Struthio camelus: one gene and its partners. The protein of the gene in region 2 purifies or fractionates together with the protein of the main gene of each other region. This does not show direct contact. Links are inferred from orthologs where the notes say so. Each region holds a gene or a part of one and is shown on either strand. Other genes may lie near its edges.

Region 1 (10,383 bases), on a different chromosome or scaffold from region 2:
TATTAGAACTACAGTACATTTTAATAAATCTGCTTATGTGCATTAATTATTAATTATAAGGATAATTAATTGGAGCCAGTAAGATGACAAGAGTATGTAAGTCAGAAAATACCAGAATTAAGATATTCAAAGACTGAGCTTAGCCTCCTTATTCATTTCCACTAATAACTACATTTTCTCACCTCATTCTGACACTGTTTAAATTACATCATGTACCTATACAGAATTTTCTCATAGGCATTTTATCTCCTTTCTTACCATGACTGCCAAGCAATTCAGAACAATACATCTTTACATATCCCTATAAGGTAGAAGTTAGCCATATCTATTGTTCTACAACCAGAACTGAGGTACCAGAAAACAAAAGCCAAAAATGTGTGTTTATTTTGAGGGTCCAGTTTGGGATAATCTGTGTTTAAATTTTTTCTGAATACTAAGTAGCAGAACACTTTCTATGTTGAAACATAACTCCCATTGCCCTCACCTCAGATTAAGACTTTGATTAAGCAAATAAGAGTTCAATTGATGGCTTCAGTTGGACACTCAGATATAGGCAACTGATAGTCATCTATAAAAAGCCTGCTTTAAGTGACTTCCCCTAATGTCACTAACTGTGATCTCAGTCAAGGATGTAATTCAGTTTTTCCAGGCAGCATTCACCTCCTGAAGCCCAACCATTTTATTTCTTCAGTACTTGACCTCCAATAAATGACCCCATGTGTTAAAACAATCTTTATACGTGTTAGCAGGCTGCAGTTGCTAGACAAAGGTCGTTCTTGCCTAAACATCTGCAGCTGGAATGTACTTTGTAGCTGGAGCAGCAATAACGTATGTCTTGCCTGTACAGTCCTTAACTTCTGGCAACCAAATGAATAAGTCGTGAGTTGTATGGGACAACCTTCACAGTACCTATCCATCACTCTGGATCCCTGATCCATTGATAATCTGCCGCCAGGTCTATTGAATTATTGTCGTCATTGGGTCATTCTGGAAAACCTCAAAGCTGTCCACTGATCATTTTTATTAGGACATTGGTTTCCATAGTTACAAAATAATCAAAGAATCAAGCTTAATAAAACTGGCAGTGAAAGAATGAATGAAATCATAGGAGAATCACGCTAAGAGGAGGAAAACAAACAAGGGAAATAAAAGAAAAACAAGTAGTTCTGTGATATCCAAACTTCTTGAGGACTGGCTTCCCACCCTTGTGGTTGACTATGAGAACTAACGTTCCAAAGAAATGGGACATTTCTAACATGTCTCTCCTGTGTAGATTCTCTTTTACCTAGTTGAGTTTTAGCACATGTAGCCTTACCTTCTGTTAGGTAACTTACTTAGGCTTATACTTGGTACATTGCTCCTCTAATTTCTCAGAATGTATAGGAACTTAATTTTGCTCAACATTTCTATGGTACAGTTAAATTTTTCTGAAATTTGGCAACGAGTTGCCAACTGTTTGTCCCTGTCATGGACAAACTGACAGATGGTGTGATTGCATAAGCCTCACTTTGTTAGGAAACTAAGCCAAAAACGGTAAATATATGTGTGCAAATGCCTGCCCATCAATTCCCTGTCGCAACCTCTGAGCACGCTTCCCATGTTACAACATGGGTCAGCAAGCACCTATCCCCCTTCCGTCCTGATTATATCAATAACTTATTCAGTGACTAGAGCAGTCAAAGTAACACTCCTCTCCTAGCAACTAATTTAATGCATTTGTATAGATTACAGTTTCCTTCTGGTTCAAACCTTTCTAATTTGGGATTTGAATTCATATTTGCCTAATGGATTCACTTAATAGTCCCTTGCTCCCAATAAATTCCTCATTTTAACTTTAATTGGTTTGCTCATGAAGAATCAGAATTTACATTAGCTGGAAACGATTTATCACCAGCTATTACTGAATGTAAGTAATATTTGATCAAGCAAAAGGAGAGAGACTCATTTCCTATTTTCTCAGCATTTGCTAATGTTATGGCCAATTTCTACAAAAAGATAAAGTATATTAACATCATAATCAAATAAATGCATTTAGAGTAAGTTCTACTTAAAGACCTTAATTCACTGTCCTCTTAAATCTATGACGTATCTTTGTGACGTGTATAAACTCATAATGATAACCAAAAATAACTACCACATTCAGATGTAGTTGCTGGCTAGACAATTGTTCTTTGGTGCAAAGTCATCAAAACTAAAGGTGTAGACTCTTTTTAGGAAAGGTAATGTAAGCAACAAGCGTATAGTTTGATTACCTGCAGTACTAACATATTAATCATCTCCAGTGATTTTAAAGTCTCAATCTAGAAATAAAGAACTGTTTTATTCTACTTAAATAAGCTCAGCCTGAGGAGTCTGGGAAAGCAAGAATACACAGGACATCTCTGTGAGTGAGTCTGGGAGAGAGGAAGACAAGCTGGAGTTTGGGGGGTACTAAGAAGCCTACATGAATATTTTTGTGAAAGCAACAGATACTGTAAAACTGAATGAAAACAAGTCCATTTGAAACATTTGTGGTTTTGAAAACAAGTTTGAAAACGTAAATTCACAAGCTTCAGGAAACTTACTGAAGGCAAGAAAAAAAAACATGAATACTTAAAAAGTATCACTAGTTTAAAGCAATTATAATTATTTCTGGGTGCCTAACTTACAATTTTTGAACATTTTAGTTGGCAACCGTGGAAGTCAGTGGGTGAAGAATATTGTTTATCCACTGTAAATGCAGATACTATGAATATAATTACATGCAATAAATTACTGCTAGCATTTTTGCTGCTAATGGAATTTTCCACTGAATCCGTTCAGCAGGGAAATACATCTTTCTGTACAATATTCAGTACATGAAATGTTAAAACTTGAGATGGAAAGTAGTCCCATCCGCAATCTTCTTTAAAACATTTTTGCAAAATGTCACAGTATTAATTATCTAATTCTAAATGTTATAAGCAAGTCAACAAGTGAGTATAGTTGTTTGATATTCAAATTCAGCTGCAAATAAGCTAAAATAAAGCTGTTCACTATTGCAGCTTTATGGATGATGGACAGCTTGGGCGTAGGTAGAGCAAATGTGCGTTCTTGAAAATGAGGATGGTACAGACATATCCCAAGACAGGCAAACATGGGAGAAAGATTAAAAGATGATACAACTAAAAGCATAAGGAAAAATGAAGATCAAATAGGAGCCTTTATTCTGACTGTAATAGAAGAACAAGGCATTTAGTTAAATTAAAAGACAACAGATTTAAATTAGAAATACATTTAGGTAGAAGCCATGCCAGCTTGTGGTAGTGACTGCAATTAGTTACTAGTGTATGTAGAAAATGTGAACATATTTTTATACCTCTTTTATGCTGTATTTCTTTTAGGGCCAGCAATGGCGCCTGTGATAAACTCTAGCTGCACGCACACTAGAAAGTTGGATATTTTTGGAAAAATAACTTTGGATTATGTCTTTTTTTTTCCTTATTAGTATTACTAGCTAAGCTTGTGGCAAGTGGTTTTTTTTTTTTTTTGGATAATAAAATACCTTAATAGAGAGAACTCTAGTTCTGTTAATTCTGAAGTCCTGTTGGTTAAGAATTAATTCTGTAAGACCTTTCTCACCTTTCTCGGCACAACGATGGAATTCGGAAACACTGCATGAGCAGAGCACAGGCACAGACATGCGGCCTCAAATTCACCAACTGCCTCAGCTGGACTCTCAGAGGAGAAAAAGGCAAAGAAAAGCTGTCAGTGATGCTCGGTGCCTCTGGGCTGTGTCAGCACCCGGAAACAAAGAACGGTCAATGGCCTATGACATAAACGAATGAAATGAAAAAAATCTAAATTAATGTGGGGCTCAAGCAAGAAAAAGAGGCTTTGGGGGACTTTGTTTCTTCTGTAAGACGCAGTTCACCCTCGTGCTCCTGGAGCGCTGCAGGCCCCAACGGCCACGCGGCGGGGCCTGGTGGGCACCCCGCCACACCGCCTGTCACATGCGGTGTCACACCCCGCCACTCCACCTGTCACACATGGTGTCACAGTGTCACACCCCACATCGGCTGTCACACATGGTGTCACACCTCGCCACATGCGGTGTCACACCCTGCCACACCACCTGTCACACATGGTGTCACAGCCCACCACATGCAGTGTCACACCCCACCACACTGCCTGTCACACATGGTGTCACTCGCAGTGTCACACCTCACCACATCGGCCGTCACACATGGTGTCACACCTCGCCACATGCGGTGTCACACCCCGCCACACCGCCTGTCACACATGGTGTCACAGCCCACCACATGCAATGTCACACCCCACCACACCGCCCGTCACACGTGGTGTCACACGCAGTCTCACACCTCACATCGACCGTCACACATTGTGTCACAGCCCACCACATGCGGTGTCACACCCCACCACACTGCCTGTCACACATGGTGTCACTCGCAGTGTCACACCTCACCACATCGGCCGTCACACATGGTGTCACACCTCGCCACATGCGGTGTCACACCCCGCCACACCGCCTGTCACACATGGTGTCACAGCCCACCACATGCAATGTCACACCCCGCCACACCGCCTGTCACACATGGTGTCACAGCCCACCACATGCGGTGTCACACCCCGCCACACCGCCCGTCACACGTGGTGTCACACGCAGTCTCACACCTCACACCGCCTGTCACACATTGTGTCACAGCCCACCACATGCGGTGTCACACCTCACCACACCACCTGTCACACATGGTGTCACACGCAGCGTCACACCCCACATCAGCTGTCACACATGGTGTCACACCTCGCCACATGCGGTGTCACGCCCCGCCACACCGCCTGTCACACATGGTGTCACAGCCCGCCACCCGCGCCGTCACGCCGGCCGTTACACCCGTCCCCTCAGGCAGGGCCCCGCGTGGCGCGGCGCAGCGCAGCGCGCGCCGCCAACCGCCGCCAACCGCCGCCCCGCTCCCTTGCCGGCCCGCAGGAGGCGGAGGCGGAGGCGGAGGAGGGGGCGGGGCGGGGCCCCCGGCGGCCCGGACGGACACGCCGCTCACCCAATGCGCGGAGGCGCTGCCGCCCCGGAGGGAGGGGAGAGCGCCGCGGCCGGGCCCAATGAGGCGGCGCCCGGAGCGGGACTTCCTTGGGGGATGCCGCGGCGGGCAGCGGCCGAGCGCGGGCGGTGACACGTAAGTCGGCGCCGGGAGGGGGCCCAGGCCGCCAGGGAAGTTTCCTTTGTTTCTCGTCCAGGTGGCAGCGGAGCGGAGCCGGGCGGGCGGGCGGGCAGACAGACCCGCAGGGGAAGCGCCGCCGCTGCCGCCGCGGAGCGGCTGCCGACGCAGACGCCGCCTGACGGGACGCCGCGGCGAGCCCCTCCCCGCCCCCCGCTCAGCCCCTCTCCCCGGGGCTGTGGGGACGCCGCCCGGGCAGGGCCGGGTCGGGTCTCTGGGCGGCGGCGGCGTCGGGCCGCGGCGCGCAGCAGCAGCAGCAGCAGCAGCCGGGGCGGCCCCGCGGGGGGCAGCATGCGGCTGGGGCGGCCGCCCCGCGCCTCGCTGAGTGCCGCCGGCCCCGCTGCGACGCCCGCGGAAGGCGGCGCGGCGGCGCCCCGGGGCTGAGGCGCCCGGCCCGGCCCGTCCCTCCTCCCGCCGATGCCGCCGCCTCCCGCCGCCGTCTCCTGCTGCTGAGCCGCGCTCGCGGGGGGCCCCGGGGCCCCGCCGGCGACTATGGGCAACGGGATGTGCTCCCGGAAACAGAAGCGGATTTTCCAGACCCTTCTGCTCCTGACCGTGGTCTTCGGCTTCATCTACGGGGCGATGCTCTACTACGAGCTGCAGAGCCAGCTGAGGAAGGCGGAGGCCGTGGCGCTCAAGTATCAGCAGCACCAGGAGTCCCTCTCCGCTCAGTTACAAGGTACCTCGGCGGCCGCCTCCGCCGCCCTCTCCCCGGCCTTCCGCGACACCCTCCTCTTCCTCCTCCTCCTCCCGCTCCTCCGGGGGCGACCGCTGTCTGGCCCCTCGCAAGGTTTGCCTCCTCGCGCGCTGCTTCTCCCCTTCTCTTCCTCCCCGTCCCGCGAGGTTTCGAGGTGCGAGCCCAGCCTCGTCCCAGCCGGTGGGAGCCTTCGCCGTAGCCTCCGGGGAGCTCTGCTCTCCCCTTGCGCCATAGCCCTTAACGCCCGAGGACTGCGCGCCGCTTCGATCGCTGCTGCGGACGGCGGAGGCGAGCGTTGCTCCTCTTCCCCTGACAGTAGCGAATGCTTCTAGCTCTAGTAAAACCCCTTTTTTTCAAAGGGTAATTTGAAAGTAAAGTTGAAGTAACTGAGTTGAGTAAGGCGATTCTGTTGCATTTAGAACAACTTGGGTTCTTTTTTAGTTCGAAGCTGCCACGTAAATACATGTATCTTAGTTTAAGGACGCTCCAAACGTGAGTATTCCGTATCTGAAGACGAAAAGGTGCTGATTCCGGACATCTGCGTGTCTGGAAATCAGGTGCAAAGCAGAAAATACATACACGAAGCATCAGCTCTGTAGGAAGTGCAAGACCTCTGCACCTCCCTAGTTGTCAAGTGCAAGCTATCAGGTCACCACATTCAAAGACCAGAACCAACTTCCAACTTTTAGGAATTTATTTCTTAAAACTGCACAAAAAAATAAGAGTTACCTCTAGCTACTGTAACAGTACTTGACTTAAGAGAGATCTTTAACCATACTCTTCACTGGGGAAGCCGATGGAAAAGCATGCCTGGAAGCATACAGTTTTTAGGCAGAGATAGCAGAACTGGACTTAAGCTCTTAGGTTCTAACAGTGATTTGTTAATGAATATGATCAGTTATGGTCAGAGATCTTCGTTATGTAGTGTTTCAGTTTCAGGTAATAAAACTATAGTGCTGTGGAAAAATTTGATTAAAAACTTGCGTTTTCTTCACCGAGAAGGTATACATATTTGGCTGAAAGATGAGTTTGTGGCAGATGGCTAAAGAGCTACTTTTACTAGTCTGTATATTTGCCAACGGTATTTGAAGAGGAAACAGAGAAACAGGAACATCTTGTTCTCAAGTTAAAATTCAACAAGTTAGCTTTTTAGTTTTTCTCCTCCCTATTAGGATAAGGTTTGCTGCATGCTCCTCTTTCGTGTAGTGAGAGAAACGTATCAGTCAGATTCATTGGGTCTGGATTGTGAGGTTGAACTTTCTACTTCCTAATTGTTATTATGAGTAGCTGTCATCTATCCAAATAAATTCATGGATGCAGCATTGTCCCTGCATTAAGTTCCTCATTGATACACTAAAAAGAGTGAGAGGATAAAACTTAAAAATATGAGCTAGAATCTAAAAATGTCAATACAACTGATTATCAATGGAAAAACCAAAACAATTACGGTTCTGGGACCCGTGCCAACATTTCAAGTGTATTAAGTGGGAGATCTGATATATATCTGGAATGGTAGCCATAAGTTTATTTAAAAAAAAATTATTTGTGAATTGTAACATACAAGGAAAACATGATTTAACAATAAAATTGAATCTTTAAAACTTTCCTGTATTATGGCAACAGCTAATATAACTAAGAGAGGATAAGGCTGAGACCCCTGGAGGTGCAGTGGCAAGCCTAGTCTCCCACTAAAATAAATTGTAGCTATATGCTTAAATACTTTTAAGGCTCTGGGCCTAGTGAGCTAGAGTCCCTGTCTTTCCCTGTACTTTTAATACAACTGTTTCCAGGATGAACTGTGTAATTGCTTCCATCTTTGCAGAAGGAGTTTACTAGTGATAATAGAACAGAACTATTCCAGATCAAATTCTAGACAGAACTTGGCACTGGTGTCTATGTCCAATTCACCTGGAGCTGAACAAATGGTTCAGAAATAGTTTTAGTTTTGTATATAACCAGTTATTGTGTTTGTATAACTCTTTAATATTAAAACAATAGAAAGGAATTTTCTTTAAATAGCTACTCTGTTAAACATTGACAGAAAATCACGGGTCTGCAGGTGTGGTATCTGACTGCACTTTGAACTCTTAAATGGCCTGGATTTTAAATCTACAGTGTTTCTGTTGTCAAAGAAAAAAGCTCTACAAATAGGCTATGTTTCTTTGGTGTCCTTAACAACACGTGAGATTATTCTGACTTTATTCTCTTTGTAAGAACAACAAAACATGTCACTGCTAAGCAGCATGACTTATCTTTTGCATGCGACATAACCAGTTTGTCTTAAGACACAGATATTGCTGTAGAGACAGTTTTGGGAGCTGAATTATGCTGCGAGTGCTCTGAAATCTTTTAAATGGGAACTGTTAAAAATGGCAGGTCCAGTAACAAAGCATTGCCAGGAGGAAAAGAGAGTGCCTGTATTCAAAAACACTCGATACCTTAGTGCTTACAGCTCTCTTCTAGGTGGTTGAAAAGGACTCTAACTGTCATTACAAGCAGGGGAGGGAACTGAACCTGGACTTCCTGAAGAAACACTTCATCAGAGGGCTTGTATATAAAAAGGGGCAACTTCTAAAGTGTCTTTTTAAGGCTCCTGAGGATGTTTTGTGCTGAGCTGGGTATTTTCCTAGGTGGCCTACTGGACTGAAGCGCTTGGTTGACACTAAAATATTGCCTGGTTTTGGTTGGGTTTAGTTGTGACTGTTCAGGTCTATAAAGACAGCTGCTCTCCTCAATACATACAGAGGAACACTTGTAGGGCTTCCAGGGAAACTTGAGTCATTTGGTGAAACGGTTAAGGAGCGTAGGTAACTCCCAAGTTTGTGTGTCAGATCAGTTTTAGACTTGAATGCCTTTGGTCTGCCTAAATCTTGGGAAGGATCCTCAGGTGTAGTTTAGAGGGAAGTCTCTGTTTGCTTCTTAGCATCCTCTCTACTGTTTTTCTCTCTCTGCATAGTTTTTCAGATTTTCCACCTATGCCAGATGGTAAGAACCCTCTTTTTGGTGCTGGCCAATTCTTCATGTCTGAATAAGCAGTACTTTCTGTCTTTGAAAAGTCAGTCTTAGATGTTTTCTCTCTTTCATAGTCTTACTTTGCATGGATTCAACACGTGGACCAGGGCTGGATCTTCTATACGCTTGGGAAAAATAGCATTTACGTCTACCAAGGGAGAATGCATAGAGCACTGGAAAGAGGTCTCAAAATCCGCTAGCCCGTTCACCTGATCTGGAGAGTGGTACATACAACCCCTGCTGTAGGGAGTTCTGCTTTTTCTGGTGTTCACAACCTCAGGTACTTGGTTGAGAATTATTTATGTTTTCTGAAATAAGACAAGGATGCAATTAAAAGAATGGCAGACTTGGGAAATGAGAACAATTGCTTCAGAGAGGCTGGGATCTTAAGTTCCCCCTCTTTAGACAGTTCACATTGTGGAAGACTTTGTATTTGAAAGTTAAGCTTCTAAGCCATCACACAAAAGAGAATGTCAGCCTTCGGCATTGTTATCTCTTAACAAAGTTCTGTTGGACATGGAGAAAGTAGGGCTTCTTCTGTAACTCACAGTGGGAATCCTGGAGGCAAAATTTAGAGATGGCAGAATGCTTCATGGCTGCTAAGAAAACCCAAAGTCATTGTTATCTGTAAGGTCTTTCATAGAGAAGCTGATCTTCCCAGCAGGCTGATTATTTCTTTAAATCTTATTCTCTGAGCGTTGTATCTTCAAAACCTGAAGATAATCTTATTTCATCGTCCTTAATATGATAAAACAAAGCTTGACACTGTTTGTCTCCTACAAAGATGCATCTAAGTCTTAAGCTATATAGGAACAGACTTCAGCTACCAGAACAGATATGCATTGATGGCTGTAGACGAAGCTGATCCTATCTTTGACTGCTTCAAGTCTAAATGTATCTACAAATGCTGTTTAGCCCTTACAACTTCGGTCGTCTTAGCCTCTAGGTATTATATAACTCCTTGTGTGCTGTAAGTCTGCTTTAATCCCTAATCCCAATAGCAGCCTACATCTAGTGCCTTGTACTATCTTAATTTTCCTGCTCTTTCTGTTAGAGCCTTAATTATCTGAGGACTTAAGCAATCTCTCTTTCTGCAGTCTGAGGCTCAGCTATAATCTTGGGAGGCAACCCAGTAGGGGCTCTGAAACTGAGATTTCAAAGTTTACCTTATTATGGACAACCTGTGGGTTTCCCCCAAGCTGCCTGACTGAGCGCAAGAAAAGCACCACCTGAAAAGCAAATACAGAATTCTTCTGTACCTGTTGGGGAAGTTATTGTTCACATTTGTCCCAAATTGAGAACCTTCCCTGGAGGTGACCTGCTGAAGTTGATCAGATCTATTGCAGCTATATGTATAGAGAGCTATATAATGATGTATCACCGTAGCAGATCACAAGTACTGTGTAATATTGGTAGATTACTAAGATCAGTTTTGGTAGGCTACATCATATTTATTATGCC
Region 2 (10,829 bases):
AAACACCCTGGTCCCATCCGCAGCGCCCGGCGCCGGTCAGAGCGGGGTGCCAGCAGCCTGCAAACCCGCGCCGAGCCCAGCTGCAGCCGTCCACGCACGACGCGCTGCAAAGCAGGGGCAGGGGGACCCCAGCGCAGGCGGGCACGGATGCAGCATCCCTCCTCCCCGAGCATCCCTGCCTGCCCCGGCTCTGCCCCCAACCCCCACCGCACGCTAATGAAGATGTTGCAATTAACAGCTGGAGAGGGGCATTGCGGGCAGGGGGAAGCCACGCGGCTTTGTGCCGGTGCCTGACCCCAATCCCAGCCCCGGCCTGACAAAAGGGAACGCGTTGGCTCGGCGTTTCCCATTCACTCGGGCGAGACAAAGCCGCGCCGGGACGCGGTCGGGGCTGCCCGTCGCGCCCGCGGTGGCGGGGGGGCCAGCAGCCTCGCGCAGCCCCTCCAGCCCGACCCCCAGCGAGGGGCTAATCCCGCCTGCAGCACGCTCCTCGCACAGCAATCGCTGAAGTTTCACGGGATGCATCAGTGCAACGCAGCAGAGCGAGAGATTTGCTAGAGCAGGGACATAAAAAAGACCCAAACCCCCGAGGAGGTGGAGAACGACGGAGCCGGGGCTCCGGGAATCACGCCGCCCCGCATCCCGGAGCATCAGGCGCCCCGTGAGCGAGCCCGATGCCACCCGGCAGCGGAGACGACCAGCTCTTAGGCCAGCCGCAACCCAATGGCAGCCCGCGTGTTTTATATAGCCGAGTTTGAGCTTTGACACTTGCTTTTATCACCCACCCATCCGGGAGTTAAAAAAAAACACCCGGAAGACGGGGACGGGGCCCGCTCTGCCCCAGGGCACGGGGCCAGCGACTGCTAGAAGCATCGATGCCTGGCGCAGGGCGGATGAGGACGTCTCGGCAGCTCCTCTTCCAAAGGCACCCGGGAGCAGGGAAGCTCTCCAGCACCCTCGCCCCACGGGGAGCAGCACCCAGAGCACCAAGCGGTCTGCGAAGCGCCCAGAACGGAGTGCTGGCACCTGTCCCCCCCCCACACACACACCCTTTAGGAGCCACCCGGGTGACAACTCACTGCCATGCCACTACTGATCGTGGCTCGCCGGGTTACGCTTGCATCCGGCCCGTCCACGCCAGGCTCCGGCGCCCGCCCCGACGCTCCCGGCCGCTAAATTAACATCCCCAGCGCGACGACCCCCCGTCTCGAGGTCCCCCCCCGCCACCCGCTCCCAGCGGCGCGACGCAGATACGTGCCGACGGCTTCGCCACTGTGAAATTTTAATGAACGGCAAAAGTTTCGCCCGTTCCAGAAAGGAGCGGAGAGCATCGGCCCGGGGTCCCGGAGCAGGAGGGGGAAGCTGGAGCCAGGATGTTTGGGTTCATCCCCAGCTCAGCCTCTCTCATGGGAGCTGGATGGTCACAAGTGCTCTGTGCCTCAGTTTCCCCACTCAAGGGAGTCACATTATGGCCCTTCTTTCAGCCATCCATCACCCACCTCAGCCCTCTCCCACCCTACAGGTCAGCCTTATTTATTTTCCTGCTGACAGGCACCGCTATTTTTAATTTTTGGCTAGAGGCTGCCATGAGGAAAAAAAAAGAAAAACGCCAAAAAAAACAAATCAATGCACCAGCACAGGGACTGCATGCAGGTGAGCCGCTCCGGTTTTAAGCGAAGGGAAAACAAAGAGCAAGGCAAAAACATGCCTTAGCGCACAGGGCGTCACCGAAGAGCTGGAGCTGCAGGGTCCCGTCCTCGCTGGGTGCCACTTTGCAAGGTAGCACCCAGGTCGACCCCCCCACCCTGCCGTGCACAAGGTGACGGCGATGCTCCGGGGCTGCCCGGAGGGAGCCCCGCAAGCGGCACCGGGCAGCGCGCCCAGCGGCACCCCAACCTCGCGCACGGGGAAACCGAGGCACCAAGGCAGCATTGCAAAAAACAACCAAAAAAAATAGTTTTTTCACCTAGATTCTTGGTGCTGCCGTTTTAAGCCAGCAGCTGCTTCGGTGCTCGCAAGGGCCTCGCCGGGCACTGCCTGTCCCCCCTCTACCGCCAGCCCTGTGCTGTCTCTGCTCATCATCATTAATACATGAAATCACTACAGGATTCCTAATTGCAGCTGCCCCGGCTCCGGCTGCAAGGCTTGGCTGACCCGGGAACATCCACGGCCCGGCCTCGCTCTGCACCCGCTCCCGTTTGCCAGGGGTTTTTTTCCCCCCCTCACCCTCGGCTTACCCTCTGCTCATCCCTCCTCTTGCAGGGGCGCTTTGTGCTCTTTCCCCAAGGAAAAAGCCAGAAGAAACGGGAAAGCAGCCTTTTTCCAAGGCTAAAGTGCTCAGCAGGAGGGAGAAAACTGATCATGCTTTAGCAAAACTCTAATTATATCTCAGGAAAACCAAAAAAAAATAAAAAACCCACAACAAACCCAGCACGCAGCCGAGCAGGCTGTAACCGGAGAGCGGCCTTCGGACAGGCTGCGGCACGGCCTCGCACACCACCTGTTTTTCCCCAAATCCCTACCCGGCAGCCGGCACGCAAGAAGCGGTGCGGGGGAAGAGCTGGGGCCCCGCTCCCCACTTGGGACCTCGCGGCTTGCAGCCACAAGCCAAAAAAGCACTTCCAAAAATAATAATAATAATAAATCAGAGGTGCCACCAGCTGCGTGTCTGGAGGGGAAGATCTTTGCCGGCGAGGGCCGCGGAGCAGGGCCTGGGAAGAGTCGCCCCGACGGGGCCGGCAGCGTGCGGGAACCGGCCGGGCACCCACCAGCGCTGACCACTTGGTGGGGATTTCCACCCGCCCCCCCCAACCAAAACACCCCGTAAATAACCACCCGCCCGCCGGGATGAAGTTTTATTTCCTGCTCAGGGCGCTGCGGGCAAGGAGGAAGAGGGAGGAAGAGGGAGGGATTGCGACGGTGGAGGCGCTCGGGGCGGTAAAGGGAGCCGGACGCGGCGCGTTCGTCCCCTCCAACTCGCGGCTTTGCAGGAAAATATGGCTTTTTCTTCCCCCCCCTTTTTTTTTTTTAAGGTGTCCCCAGGCGCTGCTCGCTGCGGGGACTTGGGAGCAGGAGGCACCGCGGAGCGGGGCATGACTCCGCGGCTGGGAAGGCAGCGCGGCCGCCGAGCGCGGGGCTGGATCGCGGCGGCGAAACAGCAGCTGGAAGGAGCAAGGCGGAGGGGGGGGAACACCCACATCTGGGAGAGGGGACACGGGCGTTTGGAGATCGGTGCGGGCACGAACCGAGCGATCCGCGCCCGGAGAGCGGAGCGAGTCCCTCTCTGCCGCCCCCCCTTCGCGGCGCTCCCCCCGGAGCGGGGCTCGGCGTGCCGGTGCCGGCCGGAGCGCTCCCGGGGCGGCGGCCCGAAACGCGCCGGGGGCCGAGGCGCCGGCCCCCGCTCCAACGCGGGCAGCGAAACTTGGCGCTCGCTGGGGACTAAATCTCAGTTGCAAACCTCAGCGGGAGCGGCCGGCAGCGGCTCGCGAGCTGCCGGGGCGGCCGCGCTCCGAGCCCCTCTTTCCCCCGACGGCCCGGAGAAGGTATTTGGGGGGGGGGGAACCCAAGCGCCCCCCCACCCCATGCAAGCAGGCACCCACACGCCGGCACGCCTGCGAGCACCCCCGGGCACGGCTGAGCGTGCACACCTGCGAGCATGCACCCGCGGGCGAGCGCGCCCCAGCCCGCGGCGCCCCGCTGCCCCCCGCGGAGCTCGGCGCTGCTGCGCAGCCCCAAAACGCCCCGACGGCCGGGAGCCGCCGTGTCCGTCCGTCCGTCCTCCCCCACCACCGCGCCGCGCACCGTCCTCACCGGCGGGCGTCTCGGTGTCCAGCGCGCAGACCCGCAGGGCGAGGGCGAGGAGCAGCGCCCGGGCGCTTCGCATGGTGCAGCCCGCCGCGGCGGGAGGGGGGGGGGAGAGGGGGGGGAGGGTGCGGGGCTGCTGCCGCCGCCGCCGCCGCCTGCGGGCCCGCGGATTCGGCGCGGCGGCGCAGCGGGGCACGCGCGCCCGCCCCGCGCCTCAAATAGCGGCGGCCGCGCGGCGGCGACCGGCTCCGCCTGACGTCAGCGCCGCGCGGGGCCGCCGCCGCCGCCGCCGCCGCCGCCGCCGCCGCCGCCGCCGCCGCCGCGCCTCGGGCAGGCCGGCGCCGCCCCCTGCCGGCCGCCGCGCGCAACCGCAGCCCCCCTCCCCCCTCCCCTCCCCGCGCGCCCCGGGGCCGCCGCGCCGGCGGGGGCTCCGGTTGCGGGGTTGTTGCTGCCTGCACGGGGGGGTCCGGTTGCACGGGGGTCCCGCGTGGCGGAGGGAGCCCCGGTTGCACGGGGGGGGGGTCCGGTTGCGCGAGGGTCCCGCGTGGCGGAGGGAGCCCCGGTTGCACGGGGTGGTCCCCAGCTGCAGAGAGATGCATGGGCTGCAGGGGGGTCCCCGGTTGCAGGGGGGTCCCCAGCTGCAGAGGGGTGCGTGGCCGCAGGGGAGTCCCCGGTTGCAGGGGGGTCCCCAGCTGCAGAGGGGTGTGTGGCCGCAGGGGGGTCCCCGGTTGCAGGGGGGTCCCCAGCTGCAGAGGGGTGCGTGGCCGCAGGGGGGTCCCCGGTTGCAGGGGGGTCCCCAGCTGCAGAGGGGTGCGTGGCCGCAGGGGGGTCCCCGGTTGCAGGGGGGTCCCCAGCTGCAGAGGGGTGCGTGGCCGCAGGGGGGTCCCCGGTTGCAGGGGGGTCCCCAGCTGCAGAGGGGTGTGTGGCCGCAGGGGGGTCCCCGGTTGCAGGGGGGTCCCCAGCTGCAGAGGGGTGTGTGGCCTCAGGGGGGTCCCCGGTTGCAGGGGGGTCCCCAGCTGCAGAGGGGTGTGTGGCCGCAGGGGGGTCCCCGGTTGCAGGGGGGTCCCCAGCTGCAGAGGGGTGTGTGGCCTCAGGGGGGTCCCCGGTTGCAGGGGGGTCCCCAGCTGCAGAGGGGTGCGTGGCCGCAGGGGGGTCCCCGGTTGCAGGGGGGTCCCCAGCTGCGAGGGGTGCGTGGCTGCAGGGGGGTCCCCGGTTGCAGGGGGGTCCCCAGCTGCAGAGGGGTGCGTGGCCGCAGGGGGGTCCCCGGTTGCAGGGGGGTCCCCAGCTGCAGAGGGGTGCGTGGCCGCAGGGGGGTCCCCGGTTGCAGGGGGGTCCCCAGCTGCAGAGGGGTGCGTGGCCGCAGGGGGGTCCCCAGCTGCAGAGGGGTGTGTGGCCGCGGGGGGGTCCCCGGTTGCAGGGGGGTCCCCAGCTGCGAGGGGTGCGTGGCCGCAGGGGGGTCCCCGGTTGCAGGGGGGTCCCCAGCTGCAGAGGGGTGCATGGCTGCGGGGGGGGGTCTCCAGTTGCAGGGCAGGTTCCTGCCTGCTGGGGGGTTGCGTGACTGCAGGGGAAGGTCCCCCATTGCAAAGGTGGGGGGGATCCCTGGTTGCAATGCATGGGGTGCATGGCTGCGGGGGGGGGGCGCTGATTGCAGAGGCATCCTCAGTTGCAGGGGGGGTGCGAGAGATGCTCGCCGGGCAACGAACGCCCAGGGCTGGCGAACGCAGCCGGAGCGGCCGAGATAACCCGGAGCAAGCGTGGGGTGAACACAGAGGGGCAGAAAAGGAGGAAAATCTCTCCGACGGGGGTGGGCATGGGGCGGGGGGGGGGAAAAAAACACAGGGCAAGGGAGAAGGCACCAAGCACCGCCGGGGAGCCCTGCACGAGGGCACGGCGCCGTCTCGGGAGCAAGCGCGGGGACGGCGCGGCGCTGGGCACCGGTGCCAAGGGATGTGAAAGCCGCCTTGTTCGCCGGCATCCTCTGCAGCTCTGTTTACGGAGGGAAATGTTTTCCCAAAGGTTTGGAGCAGAGGGCGGGAGTTTGCACCGCGGTCGCCGGCGTCATCCGCCGTGGCCCCCGGCTCCGGCGACAAATAGGGTGAAAAAAAAGGTCTAAGGGAAGATTAAAACAAACTTGGAGGGCGGGTGGGAGACGGCTGCGTTTCGCCGGGCAAGGCCTTGGCGTGCCCGCGGCGGTGCCCGGATGGAGGAGGTGCGGGAGGAGGCATCCGAGCCTGAGCATGACGGATTGCGGTGTCAAACGGCTAATAGATGGGTGTAATTCAGCTCTGCAAACCTCCTAGGAAAATCCCGGCTCGGAAGACGTGCGCCGTGTCCCTGGTAATAGCCTTGCTTCGCATTGCACAGCGCTGCCAGCAAATGCCAAAAGCTTTCTCCAATTTCTCTTTGTCCCCCCCCACCGAAAAGAAAGGCAGCGCTCCGCCAGGCTGCCTTGCCGCTCTTGCAAATTGAGCTCATTTATTTGCTTTATCCAGGTGGGGTCGGATCCATCACAGGACAAAGACTCGCTCGGGAAAATAAATCGCGCCGGGCCGGCCCCGGAGGAGCGCTTCGAAGCGCCGGGCCAGCGCAGGAGCCGCTGGCGCCCGGAGCCGAGCCGTCCTTTCCCAAAAGCAGCGGGGGCGGAACGAACCCGCCGGCGATGCGGACCCGAGAGGTGGGCCGCGTCTCGGGCATCGCTTGCCGAGCTCGGCCCGGCGTCCCTCTTCACCCGCCCGGCGTCGTCCGTCCGAAGGGAAAACAGCTTGGATGGCGCCTGCCGGCTCATCGGAGCCAGGCCGGAGCGTGGCGGCTCCTGCCTCGCACGTCCGCGGCCCCACCACGGACGTCCCCGCGCCGGCTGGCGCCCGTGCCCACGGTGCCAGCGGGGCCCCGGGCCGAGGGGAGGCCGAACCGCCCCGGTTCCCGCGCCGGCACCGCGGGAAATCGCCGCTGCCCATCTTCTCCTCCGCGCGTTAGGTGAAGACCCTGCGTCCGTCTTGGCGCGTGGCCTGGGAGCGTGTCCCTACCCAAGGGACGGTCCCGTCCCGGGACTCCAAACACGACGTGGCCCCTACCCAGAGCGCCGACATCGGTGCGATCGGAGCCAAAGAGCCCGCCGGAGACAGACGGCTCCGCCGCCGGCTGCTCCTCCACCTCGGGGAGCATGTCCGAGCTGAGCCAACCGTAAAATCTCTGCAAACCATTAAAATCCGTCCTGCCCGGAGCGGACGCGGGCGCCCTTCACCCCGAGCACGGACGGGCCCCATCGCCAGCCGGCGACGGCAGAGCCGTCCCCCTGCCCCTCGCTGCGCAAGCCTGACAAATCCCCTTCCGACGATGCTAAAAGCCTGTTAAAATAATGCCTCATAAAGGAATTAAGCCGCTTAGACGAGCAGCGAAGCCAGGAGAGCGCAGAACCGGCGACGGACGAAACACCTCCCAGGAATAAATCTCTTCCGCGGCAATTAACGGCTTGGCTGCGCTTCCCGGGCTCGGTCCCTCCGACCCGCCGGCCTCCTTGCTCTCCAGGCACGAGCCCGCGGGCGGCAGGCACGAGTTCATTAACTGCAGCTGACAAACCGCTTGTCCGAAGCCAATTAACATCTCCGCTCCGTTCATTAAGGCCGTGGTTCGCCAGGAAGCAGGTACGGCTGCGCCGGGAGAACGGGAACGCAGGGGCAGCTCAGCTCCCCGCAGGGGCAGGAGGAGCTGGAGCTGCGAGCGGCCGTTGGGTGCTGCCCGGCGGGCTGCGATTGCCCCGCTTGGGTCCTGGCTCTGCAGGATCCTGCCGCCCTGCAAGTCCCTACGCGTCCTTTATCCCCAGGGATGAGGAATACGATGCTCCCCTTCCCCGATATCCGTTCCCTCGGGACACAGCTCCTCTAATCCGCCGTCGCTTCAGGCCAGCGGGCTGCCGCAGGACATCGCCGGGATTTTTTGGCGAAGCAACCCGAAAAGACGGCGCTTTGAAGGCGCGCGAGCGTTTTCACGCGACGCGCCGGCCCTTTTCTAAACGCCAAAGTCGCTTTTCGGAACAAGGCGTCGCGCAAGCAGAGCGGGCACCGGGCCAGCGTTTCCCGAAGCGCCTTTCCCGGCCAACGTGTCGCAACCCAACGCGCGCCCGCTTTCCGAGCCGCTTCGCAACCCCTTCCCCGCTCCCGCACCGCCTGCCGAGGAATTTACCAAGCACGGGGAGAAAAAAACCCAAAAAAATCCCAACTCTGCCAGTTGCAGCCGCGGAGGCCGGAGGTTGGAGCCCCGCCGGAGCCAGCCGCCCGCCCCGGGAAGCGCCAGCGGCGAGGGGGCGGCCGTCGCCCCGAAATCACAGCTCTTCTCTCGCCTCCGCCGGTCCCACGCTCTCCGAGTGAAATCAGAGCGTTAGCCACGATTTGACCCGCCTGCGCTGCAGGGCCCAGGCGTCCGGGCTGCCCTCTGCTTCCTCCCGCAGCGGGATTAAACCGGGCAGCCCCGCTCCGGCCGCCGCTCAGACAGCGACGCAAGTCCATCCTTCCCCTCCCGCCGCGCTGCCGCCGAGGGCCCCCCGTCAGCGTGTTTGCAATTAAAGCAGCGTTTCGGCTCTCGAGCAGCAAACGCTCGTTAAAGCGTCTCGCCAGGAGAGCCTCGAACGGCTCGGCAGCTAACGGGCGAAGGGGACGGCGACTGGCCCCCCTCTCCCCCCTCCTTCTGCCGGCGGGGGATCAAGTGCCCGGGCACGGAGCGCGGGATGAAATGAGTTTTGATTTCCCACGCGCTAAATGTGTTCACGCAGCCTAACGGGAAGCGTTAGGGTCGGGGCCGCTGGACACAACCTGGCCGTGTCATGCACTCACAGCAGCCAGGGGACGGGGAGCCCCGTACCACCACCATGGACCCACCACGGACCTGCCACGGACCTGCCATGGAGCCACTCCGAAGCCACCATGGACCCACCACGGACCTGCCACGGACCTGCCATGGAGCCACTCCGAAGCCACCATGGACCCACCATGGACCTGCCACAGACCTGCCATGGAGCCACCCCAAAGCCACCATGGACCCACCACGGACCTGCCATGGACCTGCCATGGACCTGCCATGGAGCCACCATGAAGCCACCATGGAGCCACCCCCAAGCCACCATGGAGCTACCATGGACCTGCCACGGAGCCACCACAGACCCACCATGGACCCACCACGGACCCACCACGGACCTGCCATGGACAGGCTGAGCATAAGGATGAGGCCGAGGGTGAGGATGAGGATGAGGAAGGCTCGGGGCCCTGCCAGGTGGACAGGGCAGTGGGTAGCGCTCTCCTCCCAGCCCTGCACCTGCTCCAGGGCCGGCCCCATGCCGGGGTGCCGTCCTGCCTGGTGCGGCCCGGAGCCGCCCCGGCCGGTGGAGAAGGTCCCAGCTTCCAGGGGTGATTCCTGGGAATTTCCTCGCATCCCAAGAGGGCCGTGATCCGGACGGGATGGGGCCTTCAGGCAAGCCCCTAGGGCGAGCAGGGTTTTATCCTGCTCTCCAGGTCGGTTCCTTGCTTTTTACTGCCGCCGGAGTAAATTCACCCATTTTCCCATGAAAACCACGGGGTTTTGCTTTGGCTGAGTGAGCTGGGAGACAGCCCGAAGCCCGGGGAGGGCGAGACGGCGGGAGGAAAGGAGGAAGATGAAACGGGGAGGGGGGAAACTGAGGCACGAGCAGCGGTGGTGGCGCAGCCGGGGTCTCGATCCCGGGATGCCGTAGCCTCCACCCCAGCTCCACCGCAGACCCCTTCCGACCAGACTCACTGCAAAATAAACCCCCCTCCCCCCCCAAAATTAGATTTTAGGTCATTTTGAGAATATTTCCCCTGCAAGGACAAGGCAAAGGTTTCCGCCTCGGCAGCCTCCGCTCCCATCCCCGATGGAGCAAAGCCAATTCCCAGCCGGCGCATGCAGATTGCGGATGTTTTGACCCAAAAAAGGGGGTCCCCCCCCCCGCAATGCCTCCTGCTTCTAGCACGGGCTGGAGGGAGCATCTCCCCTCCCGAGCCGTAACTCGCTGCGGTGACCGTCCCTGGGACGACCGATCTCGCAGAGCGCCGAGGGAGCCACCCTGCCCAGCGCCAGGCAGCCGTCCGCGATGCTACAGAGGAATTGAAGCCATTCGAGACCCCAAATTTTTACCTTCTGCTCCCCCCCCACCTTTCCCTTTATGCCAGTCTTTTTTTTCCCCTCTTCCCCGGCCTTCTCCCTCTTTCTCTCTCTCCGCCTATTACGCCCCCAGCCAGTTCTTTATCTCTAATAAGACTCCGCTATTTTCTCAAATCACCTTTTACTAATGCCCAAAGTCCTTTTCTTCCTTAACGGACAAAAAAGATTGTCTCATCTAGCCGCTCTCGCCCCGCAAGGCCCCGCCGGCAGCGGCCAGGCGCCCGCTGCGGCGCCGCGGCCGCCTCTAATAGAGCTATTAGATGAGTTAGCGCAGCCTGAAAGGACGAAATAACTTGGGCCCCTTCGTCCGAAGAAACCGCCGGAGCCGCCCGGATTCCTGTTCGCGGCGACGAATGAGCGAGCGCTCCCGCGGGAAATAGCCGGGAAGATGCTATTCGAGCACCGTGGGTGCCCGGACGAGACCCCCAAAAGCTGCCGGGGGGGAGGGGGGGGGCTGCAGCCGCCAGCGGCACCGTCGGTTTTTGGTTAGCAGCTCCGGGATGGGGAAAGGGCGTTGGGTGTCTCCCGCCCCGTCTCACCGCAATAGCACGTTCCCGTTCCTCCCGCCGCGCGATAGCTGAGATGCTGCAGTGAAGCCGCCGGGGATCCTGCGGCACCGCCGTGGCCGAGCTGCTCCCGCGGCTGGACCGACGCTCCCAGTCCCGGCCGCTCTCTCCAGGCTCAGGCCGAAACGCTTCCCACGGCCCTAACGCCCCTCACCCCCCCCCCACCCCAGGCAATTAGCGCTTTTGCAATTAGTTTGCAATTCTCCGTTTGCAGTGGCGGGCCCGGCCAAAACTACCTGCAGCCAGGCGAAGCCTCTCCCCTTCTCCCCGTCTTGTTGCACCAAGCCG
Region 3 (10,298 bases), on a different chromosome or scaffold from region 2:
GTTTATTCCAGAAACAGAAAGTAACATATACACATATTCACTCTTATTTACAGTGTTATTAGTGGCAATTCACTTTAAATGACAACACTTAGCTTTTCATTGAGCCACACAAGTGACATAGTAGCAGTTACACCTTACATATCCACATCATTGGAGAATGACTTGTAAGATGCAGACAAGACCAAAACTTCTGGCTTAAAAATTTCTGGGTTAAACCTGAAGATTTTGCTGAAGTATCAATGCAGTGTGGTCAAATTAACTTCACTAGCCATATAAACATCTAATCCTTTTTAACGGTACGAAATAGCGTACGGAAAGTAAATACAATAAATTAATGAAAAATAGCTGTTAAAGAAAGTCTTCTTGAAAGGAGGTACATCTAAAATGCTGAAAGTACCACCTTGTTATAAATAATGAAGAGAGCCAGTGCACACACAAAGAGGAAGAAAGAGTTTGCTAGCAGTTTCTGACTTGGCATGCTACTAAAGCGTGATGGCTGTACTAGTCGCAACTTGGAGATAGTGCAATTGACTTGGCTAAACCTCTGCACTACATTATTTTTCTTAATATATACAAATGCAATCTATTAAGCACTTCAAAATATCATAAAGATAGCAACATACCTGAAATGTTAACTGCCCAGCTTAACCTTAAGTAGTAGTATTTGGAACAAGTATTACTAGCCTTCCCAATTCTAACCTCTATAAAAATTACTTTGGATTAAGTCACTAGCAAAAAAACAAATACAAAAAAAGGTCCTGCCACTATAAGTTAAATTGCTAACACTGCAAATTTATGATTTTTTTTAAGACACTACTCACCTAGCCAATATTCCATCAAAGGTTTCTGTAAAGTACACTTCCCCAGTAGGCTTTGGAGTTTGGTACACAACCTAAAAGATATTCACAGATATATGTGCTAATAAACAAATTATGATTTTTCATCTGAAAAACACTGTCATACCTCCAGAAGTTGTCTACCCAGCCACACCACTTGAGATCCTTCATTAGGAACATCTAATAGGATAAGATGCTTACGCCCGCCCCACACACCATTTCTACAGTTTGGGTGCATCCATCCAACGATGAGCAATTTTTCAGACATGAAGCATCCATGTGACCAAGAGAAAATAGCCAACAGCAGAGGAGCAAACCAAGGCTCAGGGCAAGGACCGTTAAAATGTAGAGGGATCTGAGAGCTTCATTTCCAGTGGCATATTAACAACGGTAAGAGAGGCTACTAGGTCAGTTTTAACCTCATTTTCAGATATAGTAAAAACTCATTCTCTTTTCCAGATTTCTGAAAACTGGATTGTGGTTCTCCTACTAGAAACAGTACAGAGCACAAATGCATACTGGATTATCACTAGTTATTTCCTCTCTGCTTGCTGTGCCCTCGCAGATAGACACAGGGAACAAATCAACATCTTGGAAAGTTTCAGATATGATAAAACATAAAAAACACATTAAGTACAAAATCTGCTTTTTGTGTTCAGGGTTTATAATTAAATAGTAAAGTACTGTCACATCATCTTATGCTTGGTGCTTAGGATTCCATAATAAATTTTAGAGGAAGTAGTTTCACAGCCCCACTGTACTGAAGCCCTAATTTCCAACAGTGATGCCAAAGATATGCCAAATAACTTTAAACTCACATCAGAGGAGGAACAAAATGGCATATATTTGTATTAGTCAATACAAATATCCAGATTCATACTGTTTAAACATGCATAAAATTTCTTTCTTATTACTTTAAGAGGAGAGAAAGCTATAATAGGTCTGCATTATTTGATATTGAAAATAAACTTATCTGGGGACTCTTGAAGTATATAAATGAAATATAGTACAGGATATTTAGATATTTAAGTTTTACTAAGCTAACTAAGCATGTTTGTAGAAGAAAATGCTCGGACAGTCCTTTCATTTTTCAATAGGATGGAGAGCTTGGAAGTCTCTTCTCAGTTTGAACATATAGCTGCATAAACTTGTAAAAACAGCAATCGACCCCTGCATTTAAGCAGCTCTAGAGGAACAAAGATAAATTACAAATCAAAGGGGGAAAAAAAAAACCCAAAAAATAGAAAGTTTACTGAACTTGCACCACTTCTCTGTTTCTTCCCTATTTCTTTCTATACAGATTTGTCACTCTCCCCCACAGTCCTTTCTATTTGGCACATAATAGTTGGGCTGCGCAGTTAAAAACAGAAAAAAAGTGTCCACATCTATTATGAAGTACAGCATAACAAATGCTGAAAGATCTTCTGAGAGTAAACAAAGAAATAAATAAAGAGGAGGTAAGACAGACAGTTGTGACTGATGAAATTAAGAACCTGTTCTGAAGTCAAAATGAGAATAAGCACAAGCAACATTTTCTGCTTTCTTCTCTATAAATGCGTGTTAGGCTGCAAGGTATATTACCAAGAATGACTTAAAACTAAAGGCTCCAGCTCCAGACTGAAGTATAGACTAGTAAGGCTTTTTTAAGGACTATCTAAGTACAGGTAGGAAATCTGATTTTCCACTTTCACATAGTAGAGTCATTCATAAAGCTTGTCCTCCATGTCTCACACAACAACTGAAAAACCTCACCTTTGTGAGTTTGTCACCCATGTGAGCTGTCAAATGTGTGCAATTTGCTCTTTCTAAAATGCGTTTGTTTACTAATTTCTATGTTAATTATAACTATCTTAAAATTAAACAAGATTTAACTAAAGACATCTATAATCTTACCTCTAAGGAAGATTCATCTTTGTCAACATTATTATCTTCTGACTGCTTGTCAAAATCCTCCACTTCAACATCTGTATCTCGATTTTCTTCATTTTCAATTTCTGCAGTTACTAGGCTAATTATCAGGACACTCAAGCACAGCCAGTCCCACTGGAAGTGCATCCTGCTTATCTGAAGAATTGAAAATTGTAAACTATAAATATCATTGCAAACTATCAATGCTAGTTCAATTTTACTCAAGATTTTAGCTACAAGAAAAAAAGAACCATATCCAAACAAGATATAAAGACTATAATCATTCTATTCCCATTCTTATTATTCTCTCGCTATTCTCTCATGTTAGGAAAGTTCTATACCTTAATATTAAATTTCTTTTTACTGTACAATCCTAAGACTTTTTTTTGCCTTCCCCTTCTCCCCAAGGAAGGGCTTGTAGCCTGATCCCTTACCTTGCCAGGCCAACAATGCAGCAAGAACACGACTGCTGGATGTATGCAATTTTAAGAACTAAGAATGCTTTTAATTACTCATTCCTTATCAATCTGAACCAGTAATCAAATTGAATCAATTTCTATAATTTCTATAAACCAATTTCTTTCTCCTAAGGCCCTTCCCCAGCAAATCACTCAATTTCTATGGAATACTGGAGAACGTAACTATGTCAATTGGGGACCGCTGCACCATGGCATTTCGTATATTCTACGCATGCTATTAGATTAAAAGCACGCATAGAAGGCTATTGTTACTCCTTTTGATGCAAGAAACTAAACATAATGCAGGATTTTGTGGATTACCAACTTTTCAGTGCTTTTCACTGTACTCTGAAGAGTCTTTTTCACAAAACTATTTAAACTATTTACAAGAGCAAAATTTGCTTTTGTCAAGCGGAACGTGAAGAAAATTGCCATGAAGAGCTTTGCTCACTCAAAGGTCTAAAGGTCCTGCAAGCAACATCAACCACCATAGGCTTTTCCCACTGTCAAATACTAGTTCCATCCAGGTCGATGGGCGTTCCCCTGCCCTTTCATCTATAACCATATATCACCTCACTCCTTCCCCATACAGCTACATGCACATGAATCTGCCCAGACATCATCCAGCTGAAACTCCTCCATGAAAAACACTCAAGCTCTTACAGAACGTTTTAGTTTCCTTTATTTGGGATGAAAAATGGTACTTTCCTATCTTTTACATAGATCTTAAAAATGCTGTGGTAAGATGAGTGTGTTAGCAAGATATAACCCAAACTGTAATATCACATTTGCGTAAGTCCCTCCTCAAGCAATTGCGTTGCTACGTTTCTCCTGAGTAAAACGGCCAGGAATACGCTTCTTCCTCAAGTTTAAGAGGTTCGACTCATGCGACCACCGGGCGTTCAGGTGGTGCCCGAGAAAAACCCAGCGGCCGTTACCTTGAGGCAGACGGCGGCGGCAGGAGCCGCCAACGCCGCCCCCGGGGCAGGCGGCTGCTGCGGCCGCAGGGCGGCGCGCGGTGACCGGGCCGAGGGGAGGCGCCGGCCGCCGCGGCGCCGCTCCTCCTCCGCCGCCTCCCTCACAGCCGGAGTCGGGCGGCCCCGGGGCTCCCCGCCGCACCGGGAGGGCGGGGCGCCGCGGCCCTGCCTCGCGCTCCGAACGCTGGCGTCGCGAGCGGCTAACGGCGAGTAACGGCCGCCCGGCGCGCGAGGCGCACCCCTGCGCGGGGCGGGGGGGGGGGGGGGGGGGAGAAAAGAGGAAGGCACACGCGGCCTCGGCCGGCCCCGCTGCCCGCACCGGCGGGGCGGCCTCTCCCTGAGGGGCGGCGGAGGGAGGACGGCCCCCCCCCCCGCGGGACTCCCGCCCCTGCGGCCCTCCTGCCTCCCCTTGCCCTAGTTACGAAACGCAGCGACACCAAAAAAGAGCGACCCCCCCGCGCCCCTGTTCAACCCCCGGGGGCAGCCGCCGCGCACGGCCAGCCCCCGCCGTAGAGGCCGCCCCAGCACGCCCCCCTCCCCGCGGCAGGCGAATTACCGGCGACGAAATCCCGTCCGCGACCCGCTAGCCAAACCGGGCCGCCTTTCCCAGGGCATCACCGACCACGGCTGCGCATGCGCACCACCTCCCCCTCGGCGCTCTCAGGGATGCAGGCGCCGAGCAGCAGGTGCAGCCGCTCGCGCCGCTCAGCCCAAGCCAATCAAGGCTCCGCAGGTGAAGCCCTGCCCAATCCGCGCGCGGCTCCAACGGACCGAGCGAATCACCACCTCAGCGAGCGGGAGGGCGGCAGCCCTAGCCAATCAGGAGCGCCCTCCGCGCCGCGCGCGCCAATCGAGGCTCAGTCCGCGGATGTCGGCGTTCCCGCACGTGGTCCCGAGCCAATCGCCCAGCGCCGTGCCCGGCGGGGGCGGGGGCGCGCGGCGGGGGCGGGGGCGCGCGGCGGCGCTGCTGTGGGGCCGTCCCACCGTCCCGCTGCAGTGGTTTACACCGGGTTTTACGTATGACACGTTTGAGCTTGTGATAGACACGACGCTTACCTTAATAACGCATCCCCAGCTGAGGGAAAATAACTGGGGGAGACGGCAAATCTACTTGAATTGCCTTGGAAAGTCATAAATGTGCGCTCCAGCACGGCATTTTTCAGGCAAACTTATCCGTCGTGGTACAGCATCAGTCATTTATCAGGCTGGATAAAGGCAAGGCTTCTTTCCGTCACTGACTGAAACAATTTAGTCCACATCAACCAAACCCTTTCCAGAACTGGAGAATGAGTCTAGCCTTGCTTTCTGCATTTGAGGAATAGCTAAGTGGAGGCACTGCTCCCTTCATTCCAAACCCGTTCCTTAAAGCCTCCCCCGGATCCCTTATGTACCCCAGATACAAGGTTACTACCCTTAGCAGCTTCCTGACTCAGCTTGATTCACAGTCATATCCTTCCGTTCTGGAGAGCGAACAAATCATGAGAGTTCAAGACATGATGCAGAAAAACAATATTTAAAACGGTGCAGGGGATGGCAGAGACAAAAGCAATTCCTTGAGAGATCACTAGGAACTTTTCCGCACAGCAACTGATAAATGAGATTTCAGTTTAGCAGCGCTTGCATGTGACGCTGCATCACTTCACGATTCGCGTTGTCAGAGGCTGCCTCCTCCCCAAAGGCTGCCTGGGTTGTAACGCTCGTTTCAAGGTCAGTGTTCCCCAGTGTCTGTGAGCTGAATCATAAATGCTGTATAATTACAGCCACTGCCTTTCATCTGGTGCTGTTAAATTTCTTTAATTTGCAACCCTTCACTAAACACTGTTTTAAAGAAGTACACGCCCCACGCACCCAGGGCTGTGTTTCAGTACCAGTCACCCCCTCAAAGGCAGGTATATTTCACTGCCCACAGAAGTTCGTATCGCGGCACATACGCAGAGCTCTTCTTTCTATTGTTCACGCCAACGTGTGCCTCTTTGAAAGAAAAGCAGTAAGGAAATGCCAGGAGCATTGATGGAAGCATGGCTGTAAGTCAGAGGATTTTGTTGCTCAGGGCTCTACGCCCCTTACAGCCAGTGCTCGGTCCACAACCATCTATTTTAATATTATTTTATTCTTCCCACGTTTAAGAAACAGTCTTTAAGACACAGGCGTATGGCCTGTACCCCCTCAAGCTAAGCTTCCCCCATACAGATACAGATTTCTCCAGCTGGTATTCTGTCTACCATGTATTAGTCTGCTCACTAGTATAAATAACTCAGAATTGTTCAGTTACCATCAGAATATGTAAAATACTTTGTAAATCCAAATACTAATGTTTTTGCGATATTCTGCCTTTAGGCATTATATGGTCATTATAAACTAATGCAGATGAGTGATTTTTTTCATTTGATGGTGTCGTCGAAGTCTAAGACTGCTGCAGGTTATTTCAGTTACAAGCTGCAAACAAGTTAGTCTTTACAACTTCAACACAGTGAATATTCATCTCTTCACAAAAATAGAAAAGCCATACAATTTCTTCTCTTATTAAGGCTTAGGTAATGATGATAGGAAAGATCTGCTAAGGCTTAATTCAAATATTTATTTAGTATACTTTTCAGAAGTTCTACCTCAGTTCTACAGAAACTTAAATCTGTAAACATCTTTAGCTAAAAAAATTTAGGAATGTTCTTGTGCAATCCATCATCAAAAAGACAGATGAAAACTATCCCCGCAGCTTGAAATACACATGCTTTAGAAGCGATTGCAGAATTCAAGATTTCTGCTCACTTCAGAATTGTTAATATTGCTACTGTTCAGTGCAAGGCATCTATGTAAGATGCATCTGGGATCTCACATTTATTTAAATATGTAGTAGTGTTTTGGGTTTTTTTTTTAAAGCATCCCATGCAGCAGTCTCAGACAAGACCATTAGTTTGTACAACCAGTAGGGCAGCTAGCTAACAGATGTGTGACTTATGAATAACAGTAAAAGTAAATGTTGGGGAGAACTGAGATCCTTGAATATGGAACACATTTACGTTCATTCATATATTTGGGAGAGAAGATTTTAAATTCAATAATTAAATCCATCTTAAACTTTGGATTAAAAATCTCCTCATTAATTGTAATAGATACTCCTGTTCAATAGTCTAGTCTCTTCTCAGTGTACGCCTAGCATCATTAGCATTAACACTGGATGTGTACTTGTATTAAACTGCAAAAGGTCATAGTAACAGTGATGAGATTAGGGTCCCACATCATTAATGGAAATAACAATATTTAAAAAAATTATTAAAACCAAGTTTATAATTGGCTTTTGTCTCAGAGACAAACCCCTTCCAAAAGTCCCTCAAAGGCTCTAAACAAGAATGCAGAGACACCAATCAGAGAAATGAGTAACTGCATTTCAGTGGATATCAAAATGGATGGAATAAACATCATTAATAGTGAAATAACCTGAAAAATGTGCTTTCTTCCCATACATGCATTTAACCTGATTATTGCTATGTAGAGTGAGCCTGAGGTAGTTAGTATTTTGGAGACTATATTTTAAACCATATGAAAGTATTGAGGTAAAATTTCCTACCGAAAAAGCTCAGGGATCTAGTTTGGAATTAGAACGTCCTTTTATATTTTCATTTTTATCTCCTGCTTACCTTTTTTTGTGTTGTAATTTACAAACATAATATTTACAATGCAACAAATAGCCATCCTTAACAGATGTTCCTTATCCCCCAGATCAATGATCTGAACTGAAAGTCCTTACGAGCTCATGAGGGGGCTTCATAACAGCTTTTACACTGGCCTCAGAAACAGTGTGCAAAAGCTTGTTCTGGTTTGACACAAGAGATTAAATGGAAAATCCCTGCTAGGGACATACTTTCCAGGTCAGAAGGAGGACTACGTATGATCTGTAACCACTTCATGTGTAACAAAGATTTCTATGAATAAATCCAGATAACTCACTCCAATGTTGGTTGTTGATGTTAGCAGGTAAAAACACAGAGGCATATTTCCATTACATGCCACTGTCTAAAACTTATTGGCACTGTAACACTCAAAAATTAGATATCGCTTCTTCAGTGAAAATCCAGAGTTCCTCCTATGTGGTGCTTTTAGTTTTATAGTAGGGCTGTGATTCTGCAGATTTGTGCAAGACAACATCTGCACATCACAAAGCACACGGAAGAACGGAGACTAAGCAGGATCTTACTTAACAGTGCACATGCAAGCATTCAGTATTTTAACATTTACAATGCTCCTGTATGTCAAAGTGATAGGCAATGTGTTCTGGGACTGCAATGGTTTGAGATATATAAAAACATAAATAGACTAAATGAAAGACAAAGCTGGCAGGGCAAAATGAAAAAATTATACTTACAGAAGTCCATGCATTTCATACTATAATTTCAGGTACTATGATGAGCTTTTTGAAATCATGCTTCAAGAGTTGCAGTGAAATATCTTTTCAGTGTTAAAATAAGAATATTTAGTAACAAAATCTTTTCTACTACCTTAGTATTTTCTGTGTTTTCATTGATCAATAATTGATCTGAAATTTCCTCCAATGCGATGACACTTCCCTGTAACAAATGACAGGCAGTCTGAATGCAAACCCTGCTCCCAGCCAGTGACTTGGTTCCACTGAAAGCAACAACAAAAGAGAGGACTTGGCTTTTTTTTTTTTTTTTTTTCAAACCAGATTATGTGCTTAATTAGCAAAAGAGTCTAGAAGAGATGCTCTTTCTACTTAAATCATACTTCAGTAGTGGGAGCAACAGGCCTTATAAAAGGGCAATTCAGATGACAGTTCCAGTAAATTTACAAAAATTGTAATTGTTTGGTACCATTCTGAAGTGTTTGACAAGATCTTTAAGATGAAGATAATCTCTGTGACACAATATGATTTCCATGAAGGTACTAAAACTTATGACACACTAAGAACTGAACTAAGATCTTAAAAAAGAAGTACAGTTTAATAATTTTCATACCCATAAAGGCTCCTAAAACCCCACAGGAAAAAGAAAGCATTCTCTAGGTTATATCTGTTCCTTTGCCTTTTGGGGTAAGGGCCCTATTCACTTTAATTTTATTTTCCCCTGCAAAGATGCTAAAGCCTTTTAAGGTTAGAGTTAAGAGAAGAATGACTTAAGAGTACTTAACTTTGTCTTCACTTAATATAATCTAAGTTGTGTTTTACGCCTTAGTTTAAGTTTCTATGATTAGGTGTCAGCCTGACTCCTGTTATCAGTAGAGGAAAAAAAAAAATTATCTGAATGGCTCTCCTAACCTGAGTCCGAGGGAGGAGGCTCAGCCCTTCGCATGCCATGTAGTTCTATGCAGAGCCACTTTATTTCCCTTCTTTCTCTAGCTGTAGTTTTAACCGCTGTACTTTTCACGATCCACCAGTCCCAGTCTCACTCAACCTTTTTTTTCCTACTGTACGTGCCCACAGATAAAGGTGTTCCCCTGTGTCTCTCTAAGCACTCTGGATTCCCCTATGTATAACACACTGCATTAAGTTCTTAACCTTCTGAAGGCGGCAATGTTTAGTTCACAAACTATTATTAAACTATTACTAATAAGCTATTTAAATTAAAGATGTTCTTCAAAAAACAGCCTTTCAGCCATTTTAATGTATGTAAGAATAATTAATGTTTCTTGCTCTAAAGAAAATATAATTGCTTTTAAAATACTAGCCTACAAAACATGTTTAATACAAATACGTGCAAATATGCAGCTTATTTGTCAGTATTGTGCAGTTAAACTGCGCTGCATATGGGTTGAACGAGGGTGCGCTCGTGCTTCAAGTGTTAAGGAGGTGATACAGGAATTCTGCACGTCACAGGGAGATGTCCAAGGTAGACTATCATTTCCCAAACACATTTTAAATGATACTTGTGTGGCTTAACTTTTATTTTCAAGTTTGTATGGAGTTTTGCATTTTGAGTAGGACTTAAGTACCAGGACATACAGTTAAATAAAAAATTGATAAATTACAGGATCCAAAATTATATTTAAATAGATTTTCCTTCTACAAAAATATAATTACACATAATATACCAGATATTTTCTGTAATTAATACAACACAATTTAGTGAAAAGTTTTACAATCTGATGAAGTTTAGCTGTTTGATTTT

The links.
Region 1: the proteins of PTPRU (region 2) and GOLIM4 purify together in Homo sapiens (affinity purification with mass spectrometry; 3 studies listed by BioGRID and IntAct, counting the BioPlex papers as one, with this or other methods). This does not show direct contact. The link is inferred for Struthio camelus from reciprocal best matches to the Homo sapiens genes PTPRU and GOLIM4.
Region 3: the proteins of PTPRU (region 2) and CLGN purify together in Homo sapiens (affinity purification with mass spectrometry; 3 studies listed by BioGRID and IntAct, with this or other methods). This does not show direct contact. The link is inferred for Struthio camelus from reciprocal best matches to the Homo sapiens genes PTPRU and CLGN.

Annotation. Positions count from the first base shown.
Region 1 is NC_090950.1:28,823,412-28,833,794, forward strand, and holds the start of GOLIM4 (Golgi integral membrane protein 4), read left to right. Parts: upstream 1-5,576; 5' UTR 5,577-5,705; coding exon 5,706-5,892; intron 5,893-10,383. UniProt on the Homo sapiens protein: Plays a role in endosome to Golgi protein trafficking; mediates protein transport along the late endosome-bypass pathway from the early endosome to the Golgi.
Region 2 is NC_090964.1:5,776,251-5,787,079, forward strand, and holds the start of PTPRU (receptor-type tyrosine-protein phosphatase U), read right to left. Parts: upstream 3,988-10,829; 5' UTR 3,884-3,987; coding exon 3,811-3,883; intron 1-3,810.
Region 3 is NC_090945.1:33,017,227-33,027,524, forward strand, and holds the start of CLGN (calmegin), read right to left. Parts: upstream 4,898-10,298; 5' UTR 4,736-4,897; intron 2,901-4,735; 5' UTR 2,892-2,900; coding exon 2,730-2,891; intron 893-2,729; coding exon 822-892; intron 1-821. UniProt on the Homo sapiens protein: Functions during spermatogenesis as a chaperone for a range of client proteins that are important for sperm adhesion onto the egg zona pellucida and for subsequent penetration of the zona pellucida.